Schizosaccharomyces pombe: one gene and its partner. The protein of the gene in region 2 interacts with the protein of the main gene of each other region in a pairwise test. Each region holds a gene or a part of one and is shown on either strand. Other genes may lie near its edges.

Region 1 (5,612 bases), on a different chromosome or scaffold from region 2:
AAAATGAAGGTGTAAAAGAATCATCTCTTCAAAATGCTACTTTAATAAACAGGAAGTCTATAATTGATGATGAGATGTTGGAAATTCCTCTGGGCAAACATAACAATACTAATCTGCCTGCCCTTACAGCGGGCTTCTTAGATCCAGTCGAAAGTGATGATGAATTTGTCGAAAAGGAGTTAGAAGAAGTAGATATCCCGAAGCGTAAAAATCGTCGTGGTCAAAGAGCTAGACAAGCTATTTGGGAAAAAAAGTATGGTAAAGGTGCTAACCATTTGATAAAAAAAGCGACTGAAGAAAGGAGTATTCGTGAAGAAAGACAGAGAAAGTATGAAGAAAGGCAAGCTAAACGTGCTGCTCGTGAAAATGCTTTTACGGAGCACCAAACACCTCAAAAACCAGAGCAACTGCATCCCTCTTGGGAGGCTAAAAGGAAACAAAAAATGCCTTCTAGTGCAGCATTCCAGGGTAAAAAAATAGTTTTTGACTAATCTTAAACATTCCAATTTATAAAATAGTAGTGCTTTTTTTCGATATTCAGGAAGTAAGAAACATCCTCTTTTTTTCAAAACAATGGTAAAACATCATAGCGTTTTACATTGCTCAAATCGCAGCTAGAAGATTGTATTAATATCTTGAAACTGTATACGTTGCTAATATTTTATACACAGAATAAACAGAGCTAACAAATTACTATTATTCATGATGTTTCTGTTGCTAACTAGTAAATTTAAATTTTCAATAACTGTGATTTTTTAAATTATTAGAAACTAAATTACAATTTCAATTAATACCTACACTAGCTAGATAAACAGTATATGTAGATACTAATCATGGTAAATGTGAAAAGTACAGTCAGACATTATGAGTATTTTCAATCGCTGCCCAAAGCTCATGAATTGAGGCGAATATTGCGAAATTCACTTGTATGGAACGAAGCTTAATTGAAGCTATAATGCAGCTGAAAAAAACTATTAAAAAATTAAAAGAAAACAAGAATGGTTGAGTGCATTAAATGGATGCTATATCACTCCAAATTCTAAACATAGGCTTCGCTTAATCATCGGATTTGGGAGAACCAAGCCTAATAGCTGAAACATCATGGGGTTCAAGAGTCATATCAGTCATTGTGAACAATAAATCATCATCATAATTGGGGTTATGCTCATTGTAATATTCGTAAGTAGGTGTTGAAGGAGTAAGACATTGACGTCGTTCTTCAGAAAGATTATCAAAGTGCTTTTTGTACTCTTGTGGGATTCCCGGCTCAAGTACAAAAGAAGGGCTGGGCGTCTTTGTTGCTTGTAGGCTTGCTGGCGTTGATGAATGTTCCAGTGATTTGGATAAGCTGGTGTGATATTCGAAACGCGGAAGTCCAGCAGAAGTAGCCGATCTAGCACAAATTGGTGATTGACTTTTCCGCATATCGTGAAGAGATGCTAGTTGCTTTGAAGTATCGTTTGCTGATGGTACTTCAGTTTGAGTATGAGGAATAACAGTGCTTGGAGACCGGTTATCTCCTTGGAACGTGGAAGCTTGTGAAATGGATGTCAGGGGAGCAGGGAAGGTAGATTTTTCAGAGAAGGAAGGCCGAGATCGCAGCGTACCTAAAGTGTGATGGCGCATGATGCTATGGCTAGAATTTCCAAGATTATGCTTCACAGCCTCAGTAAAACGGGATCCGCTATTATCAATTGAATGATTATAGGTATCGATGTCAAAAATTTCATTGCTACTACCCAAGGAATTATGAGGGTGAGCAACTGGCGAAATTCCAGATGTCAAAGTTTGTACCTTCCCTGGAAATGAACCACTTGATTTGCTACCTTCCGAAGCATTTAAATGATGTGCATGACTATCTAATAGTTGAATAAAACCGCTAAGATCATCCTTTGATGCAAATTCACTATCATAAACAGCATGCTCAGAATGATCTGTTATAGGATTCTCTGAGACGTTATGTTTGAAAATGCTACGAATAGGATGATTGACTAGCGGTAAACGATTACGAGAGCTAAAGCTTTCTTTACGCTCGCGGGGACCGAAACTACTGCTAAATCGTCGAAGATTCGGGGTATTGGAAATGTCAAGTGTGTTAAGCTTAAGACTTCCAGATGTAAGAGGTGGCAATTTTGCTCTTGATTTGCTTGCAGCATCAGAAATCATTGAAAATTTATTTAAAGAGGTGGCTGATGGTCCGCGATGTATATAACGATTGACTGCAACCTTCGGAGAAATTGACATATTGTCAAAATTTGACCCTGGGGAAGCAGATAATGACGGAGATTTGAAAGGATGTATAGTAACAAGAGGAGCTGCTTGAGCTGTTATAGACTCAATGCTAGCTAAATGTTGGATTTCAGATTGTAAAAGAGAATTCGGATCCGACTGCTTAGCTAACCGCGTTGCAAAAGAAGGAGGTGGTTGATCATACTGTTTGCCATCTTCAAAATCTTGAGAATTGTTCGAAGCAGCAAGTTGATGCTTGTCTGCAGATAACAACTGGTTAGAGAGTAACGCATCAGAATCATGAACCTCAAAATGACAATTTTTACGATACTGAACAGATATGCGAAAATCTCCAGCTGGTGTACCAACAGGGCTGAAAGAGAAAGTTGCAATACTGCTTCCGAGCGAGGATGAAATTGGAGCACTTATAGGAAGGAAATCATTCGATAAAACATCATCCGTAGAGAGGGCACAGCCAACTTTTAAAGATGTACCATGAGCTCTTAATTTGTGTATTTTCGACTTCAATTTCCACAGAGGCATAAGATGGGTATAAGTGTAGAGGGAACGAAATAAAACAACTAACTTTTTGTACAAAACAGCCAACTCCAGAGGGGTTGATAAGGCTTCGCCATCTAAATTCACAATCCATCTTTCAAGTACGATTTTCATTGTCGACATATTATTAAAGTTGATTGCGTGAGAATGAGTACCATCGGAAACAGAAAGGGTTTGATTTTTTGATAAATCAGATATATCTAAATATGTGTGCAAAACCATTGGAGGTATTTTTCGTGAAGGAGAAAGTTCAATATTCTTCCAAATTTTGAATTGCTCGGCATAAAGCTCAGTTTCAACAATTTCCAAATTGAACTACATTTTGTTAATTAAGTGCAAATATGAATTTTTTAATTATTTGTAATTCCACATTTATACATCAATAGTACAGTGATCAACTTATTCACCTGTAGCTTAAAAATGAAACTCTATGCAGACGCACGAGATGAACGTAAACTGATAAGTAATTGATAAATAATCTTGAGTTTTTTGAAAACCACTGTATGAATAAAGCGCATAACACCGATACTCGTCATTGTAGAAAAACAAAAATACATACCCATTTGTTATTCTTAGAACTTTCTCGAGGACGAGAGGTCCCAAATACATTTAGTCTGGATTCCAAAATTATTAATCCGGTTTTATAAAAACAATGCTATTTGTAAATGTTAATACTTTTCAAGTAAAGGATGGGTGGACCTCAAGCAAGCTTATGATACACACTTTAACTTACGTGAATGACTTGGCCCAGCTTAGCGCTCCTACCACCCACTGATGATAGATCTTTATTTAACTCAGTTGAAACTGCTTTACTATGCCCAGGGGGAGCAGAATACATTCGAGGAAGCTGCGTATTAAGTCTCGGCATATCAATGTGGTTTCCATTAATTCAATTGCAACTTCAAAGTATAAATTATTAATTTTTTAATGTAACAATTTGATTGTTAGCTCATTCTTTAAATTGATAAAGCAGTTTTTAATTAGTTTTCCTAATTGAATGAATTTGGTTTTGCAGTTCGTATTTGGTAAGGCAGAGTATTGTAGTAAGCGGCAAAAGATACTACAGATGCCATGCTCCAACGAAGCACGGTAAATATTAGCGTTGCGTTAAATACGATTTCTTTCGATCACGTTATAAGACAAATGGTAGCTATATTTAAAGGCTCTTTAAACTGCGGTGAATCTTGTTTTGTGAGCTATTATTTTGGAATATAAAGGGATTATGTGCAACAGTGCTGCAAGTAGTCTTGTTGAAGGGAACAATTTAAATTCACAATAAATGGAGCATAACCTACAACAAGTAATTAAGTAATCTGAGTTTTATTTGATTTATGATTCCCTTAATCCGAAAAAACTTCGGACATAAACATACAATTTTCGAAAATTGTCAATAAATGGATATTAACCGTTTTTTTTTATTGCACAACAAATGATGATACGTAATGTATTGCTAAATGTAGGAAATGTTTGTTGACAGCCGCTAAATATTCGCTATTTTAAAACCCAAATACACAAACATCGCTTATGGAAAACAAACAATAATGTCGATTTATGTTGGCTGAGTGTACGGTAATTATTAACTAATTAAAATCATTTACAAGCACTAGCTTATTGATTTAGGATGCATTCTCTATCACTTTTGTGAAAGTTAAATGTAAAACCCTCAGTATTATCATGTTTGAAGCGATGCAACTGATGTTAAAGGTAATGGTCATGATTTTAACCCGAAGTTAAAAGGATATTACTGACTTCTAAGAGCTCTTAGTTTTAATAAAATGCTCATTTTTTTGGCAGTACTAAGTTTTGCAAGCTTAGGTTTGCTCAGCCCTTTTCGTTTTTAAAAAAAAAAAGGAATTAAATTATGTGGTAGTACTAAAATACCTTGAATTTCGTACTCTGGTTTACCAACGATATAAGGAGTCATAAAGAAACGAGACTTTAATTAATTTTTGTTTTTGCTATTAAATTGCAGATGCCATAAGTCATGATGCTGCGATGTTTTCATCATCAATTGTCAAAATGTTATATATTCTTTACATTCCAAATCACCAAGATTAAAATACTACTTTTTGAAGTTTCAAATTTGTTGGTTACAAGGTGTTTCTATTTTTTTTAGAAATCCAATATAATCGCTTGGCTTTAATTGTACTGCTGCTATTTGTTTTTATTTAGAAGTCTTCATTTTTCGGTTCCCCAATTATAAATTATCTGACTGTTGAAAACAGATTTACTGCTTCAATATTAACAATAATTAATAAGATAGAGATAAGTTGAAGAAATGGGAGAAATGCTTAACGAGAATACATCATCAACATCATTGTCGTCTTTTTACGTTTTGGAAAATGAAACCATTTTCAACGTGCAAGAAGAAATGGAGGAAGATGGTTCAGAATCTGGAAATATTCAGAAGACCTTACTAGAGGATCCGTGTCCGGAAAATGTCAATGACGAAAATGAAGATGAACAGAATAGATCTTCTAGATCGTCAAGTCCACTTGTGAAGCATGAACAGAGACATAGAATGTATAACTTGAAGGAAGTAATCAAATCATTCATTCTTACAAAGTCAAAAGAAAAACCATGCGACCTGGAGATGGGAATTGATTCAATTGAAATGGGAAGAATGCAAAGCTTTGAAAGTGATCAACAGGAATCTCACACTGGTCAAGCGAACTTTCCAACTGACCAGGAGGATCCTCGAAATCCTCAATTAGACTCTCAATATGAAGCTTTCATTACTCAAGGGGAATCACAAACGGACAAAAAGAAAACTTCGACAGTTCAAGAGGAGGAGCTTCAGAATGCTGGGAAAAAATTGGAGACTG
Region 2 (5,075 bases):
GGGACAAGGAATCGCTACTAAATTGACTCAAGCTAGTCTGGATGTAATGAAAAATAGAGGTGCCCAGGAAATTGTTTTGGAAACAGAGGTGGATAATGAGGCAGCCATGTCTTTTTATGAAAGACTCGGGTTTTGTCGCTATAAACGTCTTTATCGTTATTATTTGAACGGCACTGATGCATTTCGATACATCTTGTACCCGAATTGAAAAACAATGCTACAAAATAAAATCGCGGCATTTTCTATGCTCTAAGAAAATTTGTTTCCACTTGTCGCAGTATAAGTGAAAGTTTTAAAGTTGTTCCAATCTATTTATTTTTTTTTATTTTTTTTCTTCTACTGATTAATACCATAAGTAATTGTCATTAGTCGTCACTGTAGCGTAACTCCGTAATTATAACTGTAATAAACAGTGTTTACATTGATTCAAAGAAATTGTACGGATGTTCATAAAAATAATATCATTCCATTAAATGTAAACTTCATTAATAGTAAAACATAAAGTCTACAGCTGAATAAATAAAGAAGCTTCAACGTAAACTGCTAACTCTCCAAACAAACAATCACCATTCATTAAAAGAAATTAGTAAAAATACAATCATTACATGCATTAGTGGCTCAAATTGCCTTGCTAGCAAATTGTTAACACTTCTTATAAACATTGTCCTTCATTTTGTATGACAGAAAAATAAACCATTAAGCCATTGAGACTTGCTTGGTTGTTTCAAGAACTGACTCTCAATTTCATTAACGAAGATCCCTTCTAGGTGCTTCCGTATTAAATTGTTCGTAAAAGCTGATGCGAGAAAGTTCTGGTTTATTTTGAATTAGAGGGCTTATTTTACGTGATTGTACCAAAGAAGCGACAGACTCATAAGGCGGGTTGTCCTGGAAAACAGCGTAACTACAGACGTACCCAACGCCTTCAACGTTTATAGTATGTTCTCTGAAGAAATCCACAATATCTTGACTGCAGGAAGGAAAAGTGAAAAACAACAATACGGGTGTCAGCAAAATTCCAAGAATCTCCCAAAGAAGATTAACTATGCGATATGAATATAGAGAACAGAACTCTTGTTGAACAGCTTTACTATGCATGTTATCAGACCACCATCCTGGCATGTAATGTGTAAAAGTGATTACGCGCCTTAAAGCTTTTTCCGGAGCAAAAACCAAAGTTTCATCAGGTATTATTGAGCGCGAAACTGCTATAAGAGATCCGAAAAGACCAAGATAAAAAAGTACAGATCGATCTTTAGTTATTTCAAAAGTTACCATTAATTCAGGATCAAAAACTGTGATTATTACTAAAATCGCAGTAAAACTTCCTAAAATAAATGATATGTATTTGAATAACCTAATCATGTTAAAGTCAGGGAACTGAGATACATAATGAGATGCGGCCGCATAGCTATCATTAATGCGTTCATCAAAAAAATGTTGTAACTCATTGTATTCACGAAAAGTCCATAAAGCTAATGGAGTGTATCTTCTTGTACTCAACGCGCCTGGATTTTTATGATATTCATTAAAATAGCGGAAGAAATTGTGAATTACTAAGTAAATTGCAACGATTGGCGCAAAAAGGCAATTGAGGAAACCAGCGACGATGAATCGACGACGTAATTCTTCAGAAAGCCTTTTCCGGGAGTTAGGATTTCGAAAAGCACTACGAAGCTGACCTTGCTCATCGAAAACGAAATTGAATATGCACCAATTTATGTTCCATTCCGTGGTATGTGTGAGTATTCTCCTGTGCAAGAGAGGAAGCTCAATATTAATTATTCCATTATTTATCAGTGCAATGAAGTAATTGTCTTTTCTCATTATACGATTTGCAATTGCATAAGCATCCAGGCGTTTCATGTTATGAAGAGACACTACCCTTCCATCCTCAGCAGTAAGAGCATTTACATTCTTTAATTTCAATAAACGATATAAAACCCTTTGCCAAGATACTGTTGGCATATCTGCGGTAGCAATTTTTAAGGCATGAATATAAAACTCACGCATTTGCCATAACCTTGGAATATCAGTAAGATAATATATCCAAAGTGCCAAAAGAAAACTTAAAAAAAGCCACAAAACAAGATACGTTATTGGCGACATTTGTGCAATGCATTGAGACTTTGTGACACCAGCCAGTGAACCATGGGGTGTCACAGCAGGCCAATCTATGCAACTAGTTATGAATGTGGTAAAACCAATAACAAATGAAACTGTCAAAATTTGAAATAGTCGGTGAACAATTATACAAGACAATCCTTTACCAGTGTAGTAAGTATAAACTTGCTGAAGAAAGCTATCCAAATTTTCTACGTTTGCCCATCTCCAAAGAACCCGATCCCGGGCACTTAAACGATTCCAAAGAACGCGAGCGTTGGAAAATTCGTTACGAGGAAGCTGAGTATAAATAGATCGATTAGGATGTCCAGAGCGAGTGACATCTTCATTATAAAAATGGGGATCGTTAAAATTGGGGAGTGCTGGTTTTTGCTTTGAACCATTTTGCAGGTTCCTCAGAGAAGTAGTTTCAGGAAAGGAAGGACTGGGGTGTTTCGAGGGTACTTTTGAAGAATTTCCATGAACAGATGGAGGCTCGTCTGAGTCCAGAAGCTTTCCAGAATACAGCAAATCCGTTGGATTATTCTTTCTTGGAACGCTTTTTACGAAATCGTCATGTTCAGATATTGTAAAGCCGTTGGATTCCTCAAGTGGCGAAGACTCGTCCTCATCACTGTCTAAAGACTCTTGCCATGCCTCTAAAACTTCTTGGGTATTAGGAACATTATTTTGAGCTTCTATATCAGCAAGATCGTCATATTGCTTTTTGTTTTGAGCCGGCTGATAAAACATGATCGCAATTCCACTCAAATTGGCATATGGGTTTTTCTCATGAATCTTTATTATTTTTGCTTAATTCAGAGACCTTTTTTTCTAGTTCTTGTATCCGAAGTAATGCTTTTTGATGACTATCTTTAAGTTTATCTAAGTTGGTCTGTAGCTGAGTTAACACGCTTGTGAGCAGGTGACATGAAGTTTGAATCAACTCGTTGCTTGAAACTGGATCTTCAAGCTCTGAGTCTGTAAGGCGAACAGTACTGTCATCTTCTTCTGGAATTGTTTCTTCGTCGTTAGTTAATCTTGGACGTTTCTGAGAGTGTTTGAGTTCGTCATGAACCTGATCAATCGGACTAGAGGGTGACGCCAAATATGAGTGTTCAAACATCAGCGAGGGGTACTCTGAAAGCATTTCTGGTTCATGCCTCCGATTTACAGATGGAGGAGTTGAAGGAGCCGATTCGGGCATTATGATTTTGGTTTGCACCAAAAGAATTTCTAGCGCGCGCACTTTATTACTGAGCGTTGAGAACAAAGTAGCATACCCCAAGCGAACGTATTGTACCTCGTTGCATCTGTTCCCGAAGTAAACATTTAGACAATGAACTTCCTAAAATATTTCTCACATTCGAAATAGCTAGAAAAACATATCTTTACTACATTTTCCTATCACATCAGGCATATATTTTCTATTTTGTTTAAATATATTTAAGGTAATACCAAAAAGAAAAAACAACAATTTCAAGAATAACTATGACAGTTTCATCTATAACTATAGTTATATGATTGGGTTTTTAAAAAATATCTATTATTTGAAAACAGTTTAGATACAAGTTATGAAAGAGCATTTATAAAAACATTTTTCAGGTGTTCGCTGGGTTCCATTCCAACGCTGACACGAACAAGGTTTCTATCTATGCCATTCTCACCAGCCCAATCCAACTCTTGGTAGTGAGCTAAAATTGCATAGGGAGAAGCCAACGTAAAATTTGTACCAAGTGAGGGACCTTTTGCTACTTGGATTTTGTCGTAAAATTGGCGCGCATCTTCAGGATTGTGGAAAACGACAGACAAAAGACCACCATAACCTCCATTTTCTCTCCGGCAAGCTTCAAAATGCTCTTTTGATGTATTGTATTTGGGATAGTATAGAGTTTTAATTTTAGGGTTTTGATAAAGCAAATTACAAATTGTTTCCGCGTTATGGTTTATCACTTGTGAACGTTCAGCAAAATCTCTGCTATTTCTTTCTAATGTCAAAGCATCCTCATCATATAATAAGTCTTCATAAAGAGCCTTCATAGCATCTTTTATTCGAGAGTAGTAACGACTTGACGGATTTAAAACCATACTACCTCCCATTACATTACTATCACCGCTAAAAATCTTTGTGAGGCTGCTGACAACTACATCTGCTAATGGTAAAACCTCAACGTTGACAAAATTTCCAATTGTTTCATCAACCACGACAGCAAAATCATAACTGTCTGCTAATTTCCGAATACGAACCAAATCGGGAGAGTTTAAAAGAGGATTTGATGGAAACTCACAAAACAATGCCATAACTTTCTCTCCACTTTCTAACCGTTTCTCAAACTCATCAAGTTGCTCGTCATTACCTAGTCCATAAAAGTAGCAGCCAGATCCCCATTTCTGTAAAATTTTTAAGGTATCAACATAACAAAAACCAAAACAAACACTTTTACGGCTATCATCAAGCACCAACCTTAATATGCGATGAGTATTGTAAATAGCACTCATGCCAGTAGGAAATAAAAAAACATCGTCGTGACTTAAACCTTTAACTTCACGTAAATACTGAGACCCTTCTTTGGGTAAAGCCTTTTGCAAATCAACTTCATCTTTTAAGGTACCAGCGATACGTCGTCGAAGAACAAGTTTAGCTGCTGTAGCCAAACTTAAATCTAAATTACGCCCATATCTCTCCTCCAAATATAGGGATACGTCTTCCATTTCATCATTAGCTTGGTTTCCTTCGTTAGTCATCCAAGTATTCAAAGCCTGTAGATCTGGATGGGAAGCATATCGGCTTCTGCTTTTACTTTTGAGATGAGAAATAGACCTCTGGGCAACCAAAAATTCGGAAATAGACTGAATTTTTTTGTAGGAATGCAGAAAAGCAGCTGCGCGTCTGCTTGAAATACCGTCCCCCGTATGTTGCCAGAATTGCTTGGCAATCCCAAAGTATTTGGATGGAAACAATACAGAATAAA

Evidence for each region.
Region 1: the proteins of atg9 (region 2) and atg13 interact in a two-hybrid assay, tested with the Schizosaccharomyces pombe proteins (one study listed by BioGRID).

What each region holds. Positions count from the first base shown.
Region 1 is NC_003424.3:4,839,790-4,845,401, forward strand, and holds atg13 (autophagy-associated protein kinase regulatory subunit Atg13), read right to left. Parts: upstream 3,815-5,612; 5' UTR 3,656-3,814; coding exon 3,521-3,655; intron 3,443-3,520; coding exon 3,347-3,442; intron 3,103-3,346; coding exon 1,057-3,102; 3' UTR 696-1,056; downstream 1-695. Other genes in the region: BUD22 family ribosome small subunit biogenesis protein, read left to right, coding at 1-491; protein mug126, read left to right, coding at 5,066-5,612. UniProt on the Schizosaccharomyces pombe protein: Component of the atg1 kinase complex that activates the atg1 kinase in a nutritional condition dependent manner through the TOR pathway, leading to autophagy.
Region 2 is NC_003423.3:3,022,766-3,027,840, forward strand, and holds atg9 (autophagy-associated protein Atg9), read right to left. Parts: upstream 2,894-5,075; 5' UTR 2,857-2,893; coding exon 748-2,856; 3' UTR 578-747; downstream 1-577. Other genes in the region: NatC N-acetyltransferase complex catalytic subunit Naa30, read left to right, coding at 1-208; SPOM_SPBC15D4.08C (uncharacterized protein), read right to left, coding at 2,894-3,310; met3 (cystathionine gamma-synthase), read right to left, coding at 3,676-5,075. UniProt on the Schizosaccharomyces pombe protein: Phospholipid scramblase involved in autophagy and cytoplasm to vacuole transport (Cvt) vesicle formation.